Linked DNA regions of Mus musculus. The protein of the gene in region 1 interacts with the protein of each later gene in a pairwise test. Links are inferred from orthologs where the notes say so. Each region holds a gene or a part of one and is shown in the gene's direction. Other genes may lie near its edges.

Evidence for each region.
Region 2: the proteins of Trim2 (region 1) and Lrrc8e interact in binary tests that used the Homo sapiens proteins (3 or more experiments, as listed by UniProt). The two-hybrid records come from large-scale screens. The link is inferred for Mus musculus from reciprocal best matches to the Homo sapiens genes TRIM2 and LRRC8E.

The regions. Positions count from the first base shown.
Region 1 is NC_000069.6:84,171,123-84,178,342, reverse strand, and holds part of Trim2 (tripartite motif-containing protein 2), read left to right. Parts: intron 1-164; coding exon 165-268; intron 269-543; coding exon 544-711; intron 712-3,149; exon of another isoform or gene 3,150-3,705; intron 3,706-5,409; coding exon 5,410-5,578; coding exon of another isoform or gene 5,579-5,590; intron 5,591-6,812; coding exon 6,813-6,883; intron 6,884-7,220. UniProt on the Homo sapiens protein: UBE2D1-dependent E3 ubiquitin-protein ligase that mediates the ubiquitination of NEFL and of phosphorylated BCL2L11. Plays a neuroprotective function. May play a role in neuronal rapid ischemic tolerance.
Region 2 is NC_000074.6:4,224,242-4,231,561, forward strand, and holds the start of Lrrc8e (volume-regulated anion channel subunit LRRC8E), read left to right. Parts: upstream 1-2,585; 5' UTR 2,586-2,764; intron 2,765-6,765; exon of another isoform or gene 6,766-7,221; intron 7,222-7,320. UniProt on the Homo sapiens protein: Non-essential component of the volume-regulated anion channel (VRAC, also named VSOAC channel), an anion channel required to maintain a constant cell volume in response to extracellular or intracellular osmotic changes.

The DNA.
Region 1 (7,220 bases):
CTCAGTAAACACCTACTGCGCATATACACAGCTATGCGTCCATCCCTACCATGGAAAAGAGAAAAGACAGTGTTTTTTCATGCTACTTACAGAAGCTTGGATAATGCTTTTGCTAATCTTATTCTCTATAACCTAATTTCTATGCTTTTCTCATTTACTCTTAGGTACCAAAGGAAGAAACAAAGGAGAATTTACAAACCTGCAGGGTGTGGCTGCATCTACAAGTGGAAAGATATTAATTGCAGATAGTAACAACCAGTGTGTGCAGGTATAGCCCTACATGTGTCCCTTTGACTGTATTGACTGGAGATAGGGTGTGTTTCTTTACTTTAGACTCAAGATAAATAGTATGGGGAAGGAACAAGATAAGTATGTAGACTCCTGTCGTGTGTGTGTGTGTGTGTGTGGTTGTGTGTGTGTTGGGGGAGACTTCTTAAGCAGCATTGCCAGATTCTGATCTGTAGTGCATTTCACAAATGCCTCTCCTCCCCCCGTGATTTCTGTGTTAGTTCAGGTTCTAATGGATGTACATTTGTTGTACAGATCTTTTCCAATGATGGACAGTTCAAAAGTCGTTTCGGCATCCGAGGACGATCACCCGGACAGCTCCAGCGGCCCACGGGGGTAGCGGTGCACCCCAGTGGGGACATCATCATTGCAGATTATGACAACAAGTGGGTTAGCATTTTCTCCAATGATGGGAAGTTTAAGGTAAGAGTGACTACAATTTGGCCACCAAGTAGTAGAAAAAGCAAGAAATATGACATTAAATTATATTTTTCTTGGTTTAAATCTAAGCCATTATTTTATAATTCTTCATATAGGGTCATCAATTTCAGTTTTATTAAACTGTGATAATTTTATAAACTTGTTCTCTCTCTCATACACATATGGACACATATAGGTACATATACATGTGTAAACATACCTATGCATATGCACACATACATGTATATACATATACACATACATGCATGCACATACATGCATATATAAGTGTCATTTATTTCATAAAGCTTGTTTGCTTCAAAAATCTCGCTTATCAGGAAACGATATTGATTGCCTTAATTTGAGTAAAAAAAAAAAAAAAAAAAAAAAAAAAAAAAAAAAAAACTCTTGCAAAGGGTTATAAAGAGGCAATTTGTTATTCCCAAGTTAATTTGCAGACTGTCACAAGGTTTTGTTACTTGCTCAGCCTGTGATGGGGTGGAAAGCCTGGGAGAAACAGCATTATAGTGCACATTTCCTACATTTAAAGCATACACAGGCATACTGAGGGAAAGGCCTGAGGCACAAGAGCTTTTAAATTGGTTGTAAATTATTTGCTATAACTTGGAAAGGCAACATTAATGAATGTCACATAGAACTAAGAAGGAAAAGAAAATGGAGGCCGGTTAGATAGGGACAAAGCCAGTTCACCTATACTCCGGGATTCTGTCAGGAGACAACGTTGAAGGCTTCAGTCCACAGCCACTTGGCCCTTGTGCTTTGGTTCTGTGGCAAAGGGAAGCACAGGGTAGAGGGAACCACTGAGCCCATGGCTTAGGAAAGCAGAGCAAGCAGGAAGTGAAGAGAGTCCCACAGCCTCCTTTAGGGCTGTGCCCCTGTGACCTCCCTTTCTTCCGCGGGACCCTACGGCCTCCCAGTGGCAGTGAGGACTAGGCCTTTGGCATCCGGGACTTTGTGTAGATTCAAGATCCAACCGTGACAGCTTCTGCTTCTTCCCAAGTTATCAGGGACGAGAGGAGCCCAGGGGATTCTCCTGTCAGGTCTTACCAAAGAGTCACCGTTACTCACAGGCCTATGAGGCACTGACTGGGTCAAAGGTCTTTTGGAAGACCACATGCACTATGATCATGCTGTTCTTCGCCCAGCCTACCGAAGGCTTCTGATTTATTCGACAACATGAATGTTAACTCAGATCGACTCCTGGAATCCTACTTCTGGGCTTTACTAACTTTTGGTCTTTGGGAAAATCCCATCATTTCTCTGAGTATTTAAAATTCGGTGTTTAAAAACATCTATCTCACAGGATTTGAGTACAAATTAAATGAAATTTATTTCTGAATTTTTACATGGGCCTCATCTAAGAAATGTTTTTCTCCATGCCTCTTGTGATCATTTGCATAACATAAAGTTTGTGTGAGCAGCTGAGACTTGGGCTTCATGGCTGAATGAAGGTGTTTAGTTGCCACCACATTACTTCCTTCTCTGAGGGTTTGGGGTGTGTTTTCCTAATTCATTCTGGAACCTTTCTCATTGATCGAAGGCACTGGAAGGCTTTAGGTTGTCATGGTTACCTCATGGTATTTACAAGATGGCATTTATGAGATGAGATGGGTTTTACATTTTTTTTTTTTTTTACTCTCAGATTAGAGCCCTTGCTTTATGTGAGGCAGTACCTTTTCAATCTAAGAAAATAAAGGGCTGTCTCCTTTAACAGTGTGATAGTGCATCTTTTTGTTCCGCTAGAACCTGACAGCTCCATATAACGGCCACAGGTACAGGAAGCTCTCATGTTCTGTATCTTCCAACACCCAACCGTGACAACTCTGGTAGGAACACGGAGAAAAACTGTTTGCTGTCCTCTAGAAGAACTCTAGTTTGGAGACAACCTGCTTATGCTTGTCTTAGACTTTGGCCAAAAAAAAAAAAAAAAAAAAAAAATTAGCCATCTGTACCTTTGGGAGCAAATACAACAGCAAGCAGCTTTTGCATATTGAGCAAGAGTTTGCTAGCTGAGAGAGAGAATGGCTCCCTGAATGACATATTTTACACTCATGACTTGATAGTTCCATACACATAATAAATACTTGGAAGAACTGAAATCCTAAAGTTGGGCTCTGTTGGTCACAAGTGCTGTAGACACTGTGGAGTGCAAAGACCTTGGAGCACTCCTGCCCCCCAGAGGATGGAGAAGGATATTGCCTGTTGCAGCAAGAACCTCGTTAGGATAGATGTTGGTTAGACCCCATTAAGGTAAAAAGAGCATATGAGAGCACTCGAGTACTGTAAAAAGTTCACCCAGGTGTGCAGGCTACAATTGAGTATCAGAAGATTGCTGCTTTGCTCTTTTAATGAGACAGTGAACGCAACAGTGCAGCTGACTTCTCTTTTACCCCAACATGGTCTTTTTTTATATATATATATAATTTCTGAAAGCTTTTAATTTATTCCCTCCCAAAAGAACAATTGTAATCAAAGGGGTTGAATGGTCAAGATTTTATTGTCTTCATAACAAAATCGGCTTAGAACTGGATCACTTGGCCCTTTCTCTTCTTGTCGCCTCCCAATTCAAAATGCTCGCATCTCTTCCTAGCCAGCATCCTCTTAGATCTGCAGTTGGGCTCTACGCTCTCTAGTCTCAGCACAATTTTCTTTGTAGTTTTAGCCTTTTTGCGGAAAATAGGCTTAGTCTGCCCACCATAGCCACTCTGTTTCCTGTCATAGCGCCGCTTTCCCTGGGCATACAAAGAGTCCTTGCCCTTCTTATACTGTGTCACCTTGTGGGATTGGTGCTTCCCACATTTCTTGCAGAATGTCTGGCGGGTCTTAGGCACGTTCACCATGTTCGCAGGAGCACTATCAGCTTGGAAAGAGAGATGCTAGAGCAGCAATGGAAGTTTATAGGAGATCCAACATGGTCTTTATACTTGCTCCTGACCATCTCAGATGTGTAGCATCTTTACTACCGTTTTTTATAGACATCTGGTGTGTAGTCGAGTAGTCATCCTCCCCTGCCTCCTTTTATGTCTTCCCTTTCATCTTCCCTCATGGCTTATATCTTCCAGACCAGCTGGGAACCTTTTGTAATCAGAAAAACATTAAAATTAAAAAAAAAAACCATATACATATGAAACACAAACATGGCGACCTTTATGGCTACTATTCTAAAATGTCTCAACGTTTCCCTCTTCAGCATGAAAGCTGTTTGTTGAGTTAAATGCTCTTGTTTAACTGTCTCCAACATATCTGAAATATGTTTCTTACTAGTCTAAGATAGTGGGGGTAACACGGTGAGGCCAAATGTGTGGCTTCTTATTTCACTTTGTAGAATTCAGTGCTTCTGAAGTGGACACAATAGTGGAGGGAGAAAGCAACATTGTTTTTCAGCTTTAAGTTGTGCTTGTAGATCTGCCCTAGCCGGCATCCGGGCATCCTGTAGTAGAACTAAGATAATCCTTTGGCTTCTGTTTTCATTCTAGATAATTATCCACTTGGTATCATATGGTTGAGTCATTCTGAGTAACTACTGATGTTTGTAACGTTAAGTAGTAGTGTATTAGGCGGTTAATGAGCGGAGCGCCAGCTCTCCTTTTGATCTCTCGTGATACCTTCCTTTTAGACTTGAAAGAGGTTAGCGATTTCCTTACATGCCATTATGTTAGAGCCTCTTTGATCCGTGGGCTTCATTGCAGCATCAGAATCAAACTTGCACAAGAGATTCCCTGGCCTAAGACAAGATGTTTCCCTTTCTATGTAATTGTGTCTCTCTGCTTGAAGGCAATCACACCTGAATCTCCGTCATTTGTAGACTTAAAAGAATAAAGAGTCACACAAGAAGTTCTACTTGGAGAAACTCCATCTGCATTAGGAAATGAAGAGTACATATGTGGGAGGTTGGAGAGATTGTCCAGTGGATGAAGCTTTTGTTGATTTTGTAGAGAAGCCAGCACCCACGTTTGTAGCTCACAACCATCTGTAATTCCAGTTCCAGGGGATTCGATGTCTTCTTCCGACCTCTAAGTTCACCAAGCACACACATGATACCCAGACATACACATAGGCAAAATACTCATGCACATAAAGTAATATAAATAACTCTAAAAAATTAAAATGTATATCTGTAGCTCACAGATTTCTATCTGCCAGTGCTAATATGGTAGGAGAGGGCTTCATAGCAGAATGTATGAAACGTAATTAGTGGGGATTAGTTTTTAATTTAAAAGCTCATACAAATAGGCTTTAAAAATACGTGAAAAGTATAAAATAAAAGGTAAACATTCCTTTTGCCACCACTGACGCTCCACTTCCTAGGCTACAGAGTCTGGTGTCTAGCGTTTCTTCCCGGAACTCCAGTTTGCCCAGGATTTTAGTGCTGAGTATGAAATGTAGTTTCCGGTGTGCTCAAAGCAAGTGACAGGCAGGAGCAAGATCTCTCTCTAGACCTTGTACTCTTTCATCAAGTGTCTGTTTAGAAGGGCACTGTGGTCCAAATTTGGTGGCAAATGCCTTAAAAATAAAGCTTTTATATAAATGTCTGTAGCAGATGCTGAATATGGTAGAGCCATTTTTCTGGGACAGAGATAACATTTCAGCCAATGTTTTCCTAAGACAACTAACTAGCTTCAGGTTGGTTTCTGGAATGCTTTGAACTTTGATGTATATTTCTGTACTTGCTTCTAACAGACAAAAATTGGATCAGGAAAACTGATGGGGCCCAAAGGAGTTTCTGTGGACCGCAATGGGCACATTATTGTGGTGGACAACAAGGCGTGCTGTGTGTTTATCTTCCAGCCCAACGGGAAAATAGTCACCAGGTTTGGTAGCCGAGGAAACGGGGACAGGCAGTTTGCAGGTACACTCGATGGTAATATGTGAACTCCCTTCTTTGTGCTTCTTCTGCTCACATTTGCATGATGTCTGAGCATGTTGAAGGTGCCCAGTCCCCCAGTGTGCGTGCCATCTTTAGGGGGCGTACGAGGGGTGGGGCCAGAGCAGGGGGCGTGCCAGGGGTGGAGCCAGAGCAGTAGGCGTGCTGGGGGTGGAGCCAGAGCAGAAGCGGCAATGAAGCAAGCAATGAAGACACTTCTCAGTTGTCCTGAGAAGGTTCAGTTGAAAGTGCGGCCTTTAAATGGTTTCTACCGATGGCTGCTCACACTGCAGACAATGGATTTTTAAATATTTGTATTCAGTGAAATAATACATCTTAAAATAAAATATTTACCAAAAACAAACAAACAAACAAACAACCCACAAGTGTTTGAAGATCAGTGAGCTGCAGTTTTTCCATGGCTGCAGTTTTCTTTCACAAGCCTCTGGATGGGGGCTGTTTTACCTTTGTAGGTTACTGTAAGAGGGCAGGAGTGTAAGTATTTGCTAAGAGCAGCAAAGACAGTCTTCTTTCTCTCTTTCTTTCTTTCTTTCTTTTTTTTTTTTTAACTTTGCATCTTGCAACTTTGCAATCACAAGCTTTTGTTGGTTGTGCACATCTGCAAGAAAAGGCTGAGCACAGTCCATTGATTTTTCTTTCCAAAGGATGCTTGGCACTATTTCAAGTTTAGCTGGCATCATTTTTCTTTGTGTTCATTCTCTCCTTCTTTGTCTGGCCCAGATTCTGAATAGTCACTCAATATTATAAAATGCAGGTTTTTTTCCCAGAAGAAAAGTTATATTTTAGAAGCTCTTTCCCAGAGCAGAGAATGCCAATAGTTTTCTTTTGATTATTAGAGCACTGCTTTACTTCCATACGTAGCAAAAGCGTGCTGCGGTCAGGGGTGGTGGGTATGGCTTACGGAGGGGCAGAGCGAGAAGAGTTGCTGGCGCTTCCTGCTCATCCTATTTTCTTAGGACTGCCACTTCTAAGGCTTGGTGGGGCGAGGTCAGAGCAGACAGCTGAGAAACGTGCTGGATCCAGTTTATCAGGAGCTAGAAGTCTGGCCAAGTGATGGTTCATGGACTGGGGCTCGGGTTCTCTGTCCTTCCTTAATTAGGTCGGTGTGTTAGCCTTGTCTTGTGCTGCAGCAACTGCTGTGCTTGTCATCGTGTTTGCTGTCGGAGCCCTCACGTGTTTCTCCTCCATTTTATTGCAGGTCCCCACTTTGCAGCTGTGAATAGCAATAATGAGATCATCATTACAGATTTCCATAATCACTCTGTCAAGGTACTGTTAGTACTCGGACTGTTGTTAACTCTGCACTCCTTGTACGGAGAAATTGTCTAGTTGTAAATAATGTACAGCACTGTACAGACACTCGGAACGGAATGGAGTAAACCTATGGGGATCTGGCTTCAGCTTAAACATGAACTTTTTTTTTTTGGTTTTTCGAGACAGGGTTTCTCTGTGTAGCCCTGGCTGTCCTGGAACTCACTCTGTAGACCAGGCTGGCCTCGAACACAGAAATTCACCTGCCTCTGCCTCCCAAGTGCTGGGATTAAAGGTGTGCGCCACCACGCCTGGCAAACATGAAGGTTTTAATATGGACTTACATACTTGGAGA
Region 2 (7,320 bases), on another chromosome or scaffold:
CAGCCTCCTTTGCCTTATCATTTTAGGTAGAGTCTGCCACTGAACCTGGAGCACATCCATTTAGGTAGGGTGGGCGACTGGCCAGCGAGCCCTAAGGATTCATCTCTTTCTGTGTCCGTGGCCTGCACAGGGTCCAAGCCCAGGCTTTCGTGCCTGAGGCGCTTTGTCAGGTGAGCTGCCTTTGCAGTGTTGTTTGATATTTTTTGAGAATCTTAGTACATTGCCCAGGCTAGCCTCAAATGTATGCACCTTAGCCTCTTTCATATTAGGACTTCAAGCTATGCAACCATTCCCGTCTTGTTTGTATGCTTAATGTCTATCTATAAATCAAAGGGAAGAGCAGGGGACATAGGTAAGTTGAAGAGTGCTTGTCTGCCACAAACCCTGGATTTAATCCTCACATCAAATATGCTGGGTGGGGACACATACACATACATACATATATACATACATACATACATACATACATGCACACACATACACACTTACAGCCCTGGAGAGTTGAAGCCAAAGGGATCACGAATTCATGCTCATTCTTGGCTACACAGAGAGAGTTTGAGACCAGCTTATGCTTTAGCCTGAATTCCATCCCCACTACTAGCCACATGGAGAGTTTCAGGCCATCCAGGGCTATGTAGTGATACCCTGTCTCAAAAAAGAGAAGAGTCAAGAATAGTAGCATGTTCTTGCAATCCCAGGACCAAGGAAGCTGAGGCAAATGAATGCCAGCAGATGTTCCATAGATAGAAAGATTCTGTCTCAGAAACAAAACACACAGAGCACACACAGACACACACAGAGACACACACACATACACACACACAAACACGTTTGAAGCCATCCTAGGCTTTATATGGTGACACCCTGTTTTAAACAAAGATGAATAAAACAGGTTACTAGAGGGCATAGCTCTGTGGTAGTAAACTTTCCTAGTTTAAGAAAGACTTTAGGTTTGCTATCTAGTGCCAGAAGAAATGAAGGAGAGGAGGAGGGGAAAAGACTGCTAAACACAGAAAGGTTTGTTCTTCAGCTACCTGAAGAGTCACTCCAGGCTTAGAGAATTCCGACTCACTTCCAGTCTCTGGAGGATGAAAAAAAAAAAAAAAAAAAAAGGGTCTCACTATGTTGACCTGGTTGACCTGGAACTCTCTATTTGTGTAACAGATCCCCAGACTCTAGCACAACTGACTCCATGATGGAAGTACCATTCAAGCCATAAAATTCATCATGTAGACAGCCCCACCAGCTAAAATAAAAACAAAATCTAATCTATCAAAGTTCATAGTTCTGGGAAAGTCTCTAAGTGTGCTAACTTTGCTTTTTAGCTTCTGTAGTCTTCTCCAGTGGGTGCCCAACAGCAATGTAGACCTGTGTCTTCTTCCAAGTGCTAGATTTTTCTCTAAAAAAAAAGAGAGATTTCTTTCATTTTTAATTACGTATGTGTAAAAGAGAACAGGAGCACACAGAAGCCAGAAGGCGGCATCAAATCCTCTACGATTGTGGGTAATTGTGAATCACCAGATATGGGTGTTAGGACCTGAACTCAGGTCCTCTGTAAGAGCAATGTATACTCTTAACTCTCCAGCTTCCAAATTCTTTTCTGTGTGCATGCTCCTGCAGAGGGGTGGGGGTGGGGCATGCTCACTTTCCTCATTAATCTAAATAGGTTTCCCATTAAGAAAGTATTTTCACACTAAGAATAGAATAGATGAAGGCTCAAATTTGCCTGCCTTCAGATGGAAATAGGCAGTATTCTTGGTTTGGTGGTCTATGATGGGGAGTTGATAGTTTCTTGTGAGGCCTGGGGAGTGGTGGTGGTAGTGGTGGGATAGGATGAGTTTTTGTTTTGTCGGTTTGGTTTTTAATGAACCTTTCAGAAGCTGAAGATTTAGGCTTGCCTAGCATACACACAGCCCTAGATTCCATCCCCACCACTAAATAAACTACACATGGTGGCCCTAGCCTGTAATCCCTCAGCCTGCAAACCCTCTTGTAATCCTCTCAGGTGGTAGGGACTCTGATGCTGGAGGCAGGGGGATCAGAAATTCAAGGTCATCCTTGTCTACCTGGAGAATTTGAAACTAGTTTGAAGAGAAGGGGTGGGGAAGTAAGAAGTAGTTCCAGGCTCCCCTACCCCCTCGCCTGCATGCCCAACTCTACTACCTGGAACAGTCCAGGTTGAGGAAAAGAGTTAGTTCCTACTCCAGCCCTCCAAAATTCAGGATGGGCCACAAGCTTCAGCAGAGACAGTCAAGACCTTGGGTTAGCTTCCTGTGGCTGGGCACAGCTCCTGATGGCAGGCCAGCTCTGGAAGAGGGATAGTCCTCTGCTCTTGGTCTTCCCCTGCCGGCCGGAAGCCTGTGGTGCCTGTGCCTCCACTGAGCTTTAGTGCCAGCTGGGGATGCTTAGGGGTTGAAGGAAATTCTCCCCAGAACCACTTCGCTGACACCTGTCCAGGTGGAGCATCTACAGGATACCAGTTTGCCCCCACAGCCAGGAGGTAGAGGGACTGCAGACTTCTACAGACCCTTGTCTCAGGAATATCTCTCCTTGTTAGCGATCGCGTGGCGTGGAGTGGGGTCGACCTGATAGCGTCTGTAGTGAGGCGGGGCCGAACAATCCCGGGGGCGGGGCGGGGCGGCTCCTGGCCCAGCCCGCCCTGACTCACCCTCTCTGGCCCGCCCGGGAACTCTGCGGGAGTCCGGGTCGATCTACTCCCAGGCATCTAGAAGTTGGGCCCCGGAGTTCCATCCCTGAGCAGTGAGTAAGTAGCGGGGGCTTGGGAGGCTTTCGTCCCACCGTGTAGATCAACCTGGACCCAGGGAATGGCCCGGAGGAGTGGAGGGAGTCGCTCAGGTGTGGGTGGTTCCGTGGCCTTGGCCGGAGCAATCCCACACACATTGAAAGCCCGGGCTGGGAGAGGGGTGCGGTAATCCCCAGCTTGGCCCCAGGGAGCTGGTGTCCTGGGATCCAGGCAGTTCGGGATCAAGCGAAGGAAGAGAGATCAACAGGCAGGAGTCGACTTTGACAGTCTTTGGCAGCCTGTCCCAGCGTGGGGTGGTGGAGGTAGCTGAGAAAGACAGAGCTCATCTTCATGAGCGCCCTAAAAGCTGCAGAACCCCACCCTCACAAGCCTGCTCCCTTACATTTCAAGGTTCTTATATTTGAAGACTACAAAAAACCCTTCCAAATCCCAGCAGAATAAGCTTGGGAAGGGGCTAGCCTAGGAGTCTATAGGCCCCCAAGACTTTCCTCTAGGGGTGTCTTTCCCTTACCTCTTTATCCCCCTTGTGAGAAGTGTAGGGATTAGTTTTTCAAGAGCTTAATTTTTTTCTTTACTAGTTAGTTAGTTAGTTAGTGTGTGTGTGCATACATGCCACGGCACTCTCATCGAGGTCAGAGACAACTTGTAGTAATTGGTTCTCTCCTTCCACCTATGGGTCCCTGAGATTGCACTGAGGTCTTCTAGCTTGGCAACAGGTGCCTTTGTCCAATGAGCCACCTCCGCAGCCCTGTGTTTTGGGGTGTTGCTGTTGTTGTTGTTGGTTTGTTGGAGACAAGGTCATATAATGCTGGCCTGTTTCTAACAAGCTTGCTTGCTACACAGCTTAGGGTGAGCTCAATGTGTTGGTCGTCTTGCCTCTATCCTAAGGAGTATGATAGAGATGTGCACCCACCATTCCAGGTTTTATGAGATGCTGGGAATTGAACCCAGGGCCTGAATAAGCACTCTATCAACTAGGCCACATTCCTAGTTCTGACTTTGTATTCTAAAAGTTGAAAACTCTTCTGTCTCTTCTCGGCCCTTAGCATATGAGCTACAGCTGGGGAGACAGGCTGAGGTTGGGAACATCCCCTGCCTCCATTGCATCAGCAGGAGCAGTGCTAAGGCTTAGCTGTGGGAAGGAGCTTGCAAGATAGGAAGGGGGTGTTGGTAGATCTAGGCTACCCTGCCCACTTCTATGTGGGTGCTGGGAATATCACTCGGATCCTCGTGCTTGTGCATCAGATATTTCACTTACTGAACCATTTCCCCAAAGCGCACTCCTTACATACATAGAGGCTGCATCTCAATGAGGGGTGCTTTCAGTGGGTGGAAACAGAGTTGGTGCCATCAAACAGGAGGTAGACTTTGGCTGGGCAGGCTCAAGTGATACTTGTAGCAGTGAAATCCTCAGCGAGTTATGTTCATCCTCCAAGATGAAAGGACAAAGACCCTCACACTTATACTTCCCAAACTGGGATAAAACTCAGCATTAGGCTAGACATGGTGGCACACCTCTGTAATCCCAGTACATTTTCGGTTCATCTTGTTCTACATAGCCAGCACCAGCCTAGACAAGGCTACATAGTAAGACCTTGTTTCAAAAAACTTGAGGGATACAAGAGGGCTGGAGGGTGGACCAGTGGGTAAAGTGCTTGCTGCAAAGGCAGGCGCACCTGAGTTTGCATCTCATGCCCACATTAAAGGAACTCTAGCCAACCTGAGCATGGCAAGCATGGCTGTGGCAGGCCTTGCCGTTCTCCCCCGACCCCCATTTCCATCTGCTTTGCTAAAAACTGTTAGATTACATTTCTGAAGCTAGCCCCTAAGGTTTATTTCCTTATTTGGCTACTTCCCTCTCCTGAGACTGACTGCCAAAATACAGGTAACAAAGTATTGAAGTCCAGGAATCAGAAGCCCCCTTAGCTCACCTAATTAACATATCCAATCAAAACTGAACTCCTGATCCTAACACAGATTTCTCCTTTACCTTTATAAACGTCCACTTTCCTATGGGCCAACTCTGTCTCCTACTATCCAGAGAAAGTCTTTTGTTCTCCAGGGTAAATTATCCCTTTCCCCTCTGCCTGTTCCTTTCGCCTTCTACCTCGGCCTCCATCTTCTGTCTCTTCATCTCTTATTCCATGCCCTCTGCCCCTCTGGAGCAAATAAATCTCCTTTGTGCTGATTTGGTCTTGGGGTGTCTTGAGCCAACTCCAAGGTTCTTTCTCTACACACATAAAAGCAGGGCACTGTGACACACTTTGGTAACCTTAGTGGATTCCAGAATGACCAGCCAGTCCAGTGAAAATGCTCACCCTCAGATTTCAAGGAGAGGCCTTGTCTCAAAGAAAAAAAAGAAAAAAAGAAAAGATGGAGGATGGGAGAGGTAGCTTAGCAAGCATGAGCTCCTGAGTTTGATAACAAAGATAACTGATGTCATGAATGGTAGAAGACATCTGGCATCAACCACTGGACACATAAGCACACACAAACACACATACACACACACACACACTTTAAAAAAAACCTTAAGCCGGGCGTGGTGGCGCACGCCTTTAATCCCAGCACTCGGGAGGCAGAGGCAGGCGGATTTCTGAGTTCGAGGCCAGCCTGGTCTACAAAGTGAGCTCCAGGACAGCCAAGGCTGTACAGAGAAACCCTGTCTCGAAAAACCAAAAAAAAAAAAAAAAATAAAAAAAAAATTAAAAAAAAAAATAAAAAAAACCTTAAAAATAAAAAAACAAAAATCAGCATGAAGAACAACAAGAGAAATTCTTTCATATAAAATCCATTGTGATTTTTCTCTACACTTCCCCCAGTTCTGTGACCTTTCCACTATCTCTGTCCAGACACAGGGAAGGGGGCCAGCCTTCCATCTGCCTGCTGGAATTTAATGGCAGGTTCTGCAAGATCTTGTTTGAGTCACGGGGCCAGACAATGATAATCCCCTGTGCTTCCCTCTGATTGTGTGTCTACATCGTGTCTTGTTCCTGGGAGCTGAGCAGAGGGCTCCTGTCTCCTGGCCTGTGACTTGTGAGGGTAGCCTGGCAGAGTTGGGAACTGTGACACTGTGACGTGGGTCGTGGAAGGTGGAGACAGGGAACTGGTCCTTGATTTTACATGTGTAGCATCCCTTGAGTCATCTCTCTCCCCTCGTTATTTCTGTCAGATTATGAAGATTGGGATTTTTTCCCCTCCAGTTCTGGAGACACTCTTGCAAACACTTAGTACTAAGCTACAGCCCCTCTTTAAGGAGGGCAACAAAATTTCTTTTTGAAATGTGGTTTCATGTAACCCAGGCTGGCTTTGAGTCTCCTATGTAGCTGAGGATAACTTTGAACTCTGATCCTCCTACCTGAAATCCCCAAGTGCTAAGATTTGCAGGCATGTGTCAGTATGCCTAGTTATGTGGTGCTAGAGACTGGATTCAGAGAATTGTACATGCCAGAAAAGTGCCCTACCAATTGAGCTACTCCACAGCCTGAGACTTTTAAGAGAGTGTTTGGTGAGCATATGTAAAGGACCTTGTTCTCTGGTCGTCTCCTTACATGTACCTGGTTCAGGATGAACTTGGGACCTCAGTGTCATATTTTCTATATAGGAAGACGTAATGCCTGCTCCCTTTTCTACAGAACCCCCTACTCTTCCATATCCACACCTTGGTGTGTGTGTGCGCGCACAAAGCTTGGATGCTGACAGGGGTGGGCTGTCCAAGAGACCTTCACTCTTTGCTTCCTTCTCTGCCCTAAGCAAGTAGCTGACTTCCTGGGAGTCCTGTCTTAGCTCACATTCTACACCCCCGTGTGACTTGGGTCTGGCCTTTGTGATAATGATACCTTAGTAGAAAAGGAAACCAGAGATAGACAGAGTGGGCTGGCAGCCCTGTGCCAGGCTCCAGTCATAGGTGTCACCCTGAGAGTTTTCCAGTTTAGTGATTCTCATGCTTCCACACATGCCAAAACTCTTCCCCGGGGGTGGGGGTGGGGGGCAGATTTCTTATTTCCACTTCAGATTCTAGGCTCTAGTCCCTATCTGAACAGTCAGGTGTCTTGGCACATGCCTCCAGGGCTCAGTAGCCTTCAGCCTGGCCACTCCCTAACCCCTGAGGCCCTTAACTAGAGCACAGCCACGCTCCAGCTTGCTTCTCCCTAGCCGGCTTTTCCGGTTAGAGAATGGAGGTGGTGCCCAGAGCACCCCTGTAGGGGGGCACACCCCGGAAGTCTTGAGCCTGGGGATACCCTGGTGGCAAGGTGGAGGTGAGAACCCAGCTAGAATAAAGGAGTACCAGAACGAATGTCACAGGCTTCCTCCTTCAGAGGTGGGCAGCCAAAGGAGGAGACTGGAGGACAGCTGCCCTGTAGTTTTTTTACTCTCACAGAGTTCTGAAGAGGGCAGGCAGTGAAAGATAAACCTGTGCTTTGGAGGAGGGGAAACGCTGTGAGACTGGGAAAGAGGTGAGTTCCGAAGGAAGCAACAAGACCCCGGCTAAGAGGGGAAGGGAACATACAACGATGCATAGATTCTAGAAAGTTCTGGCCAGGCTGAGAGTGCGT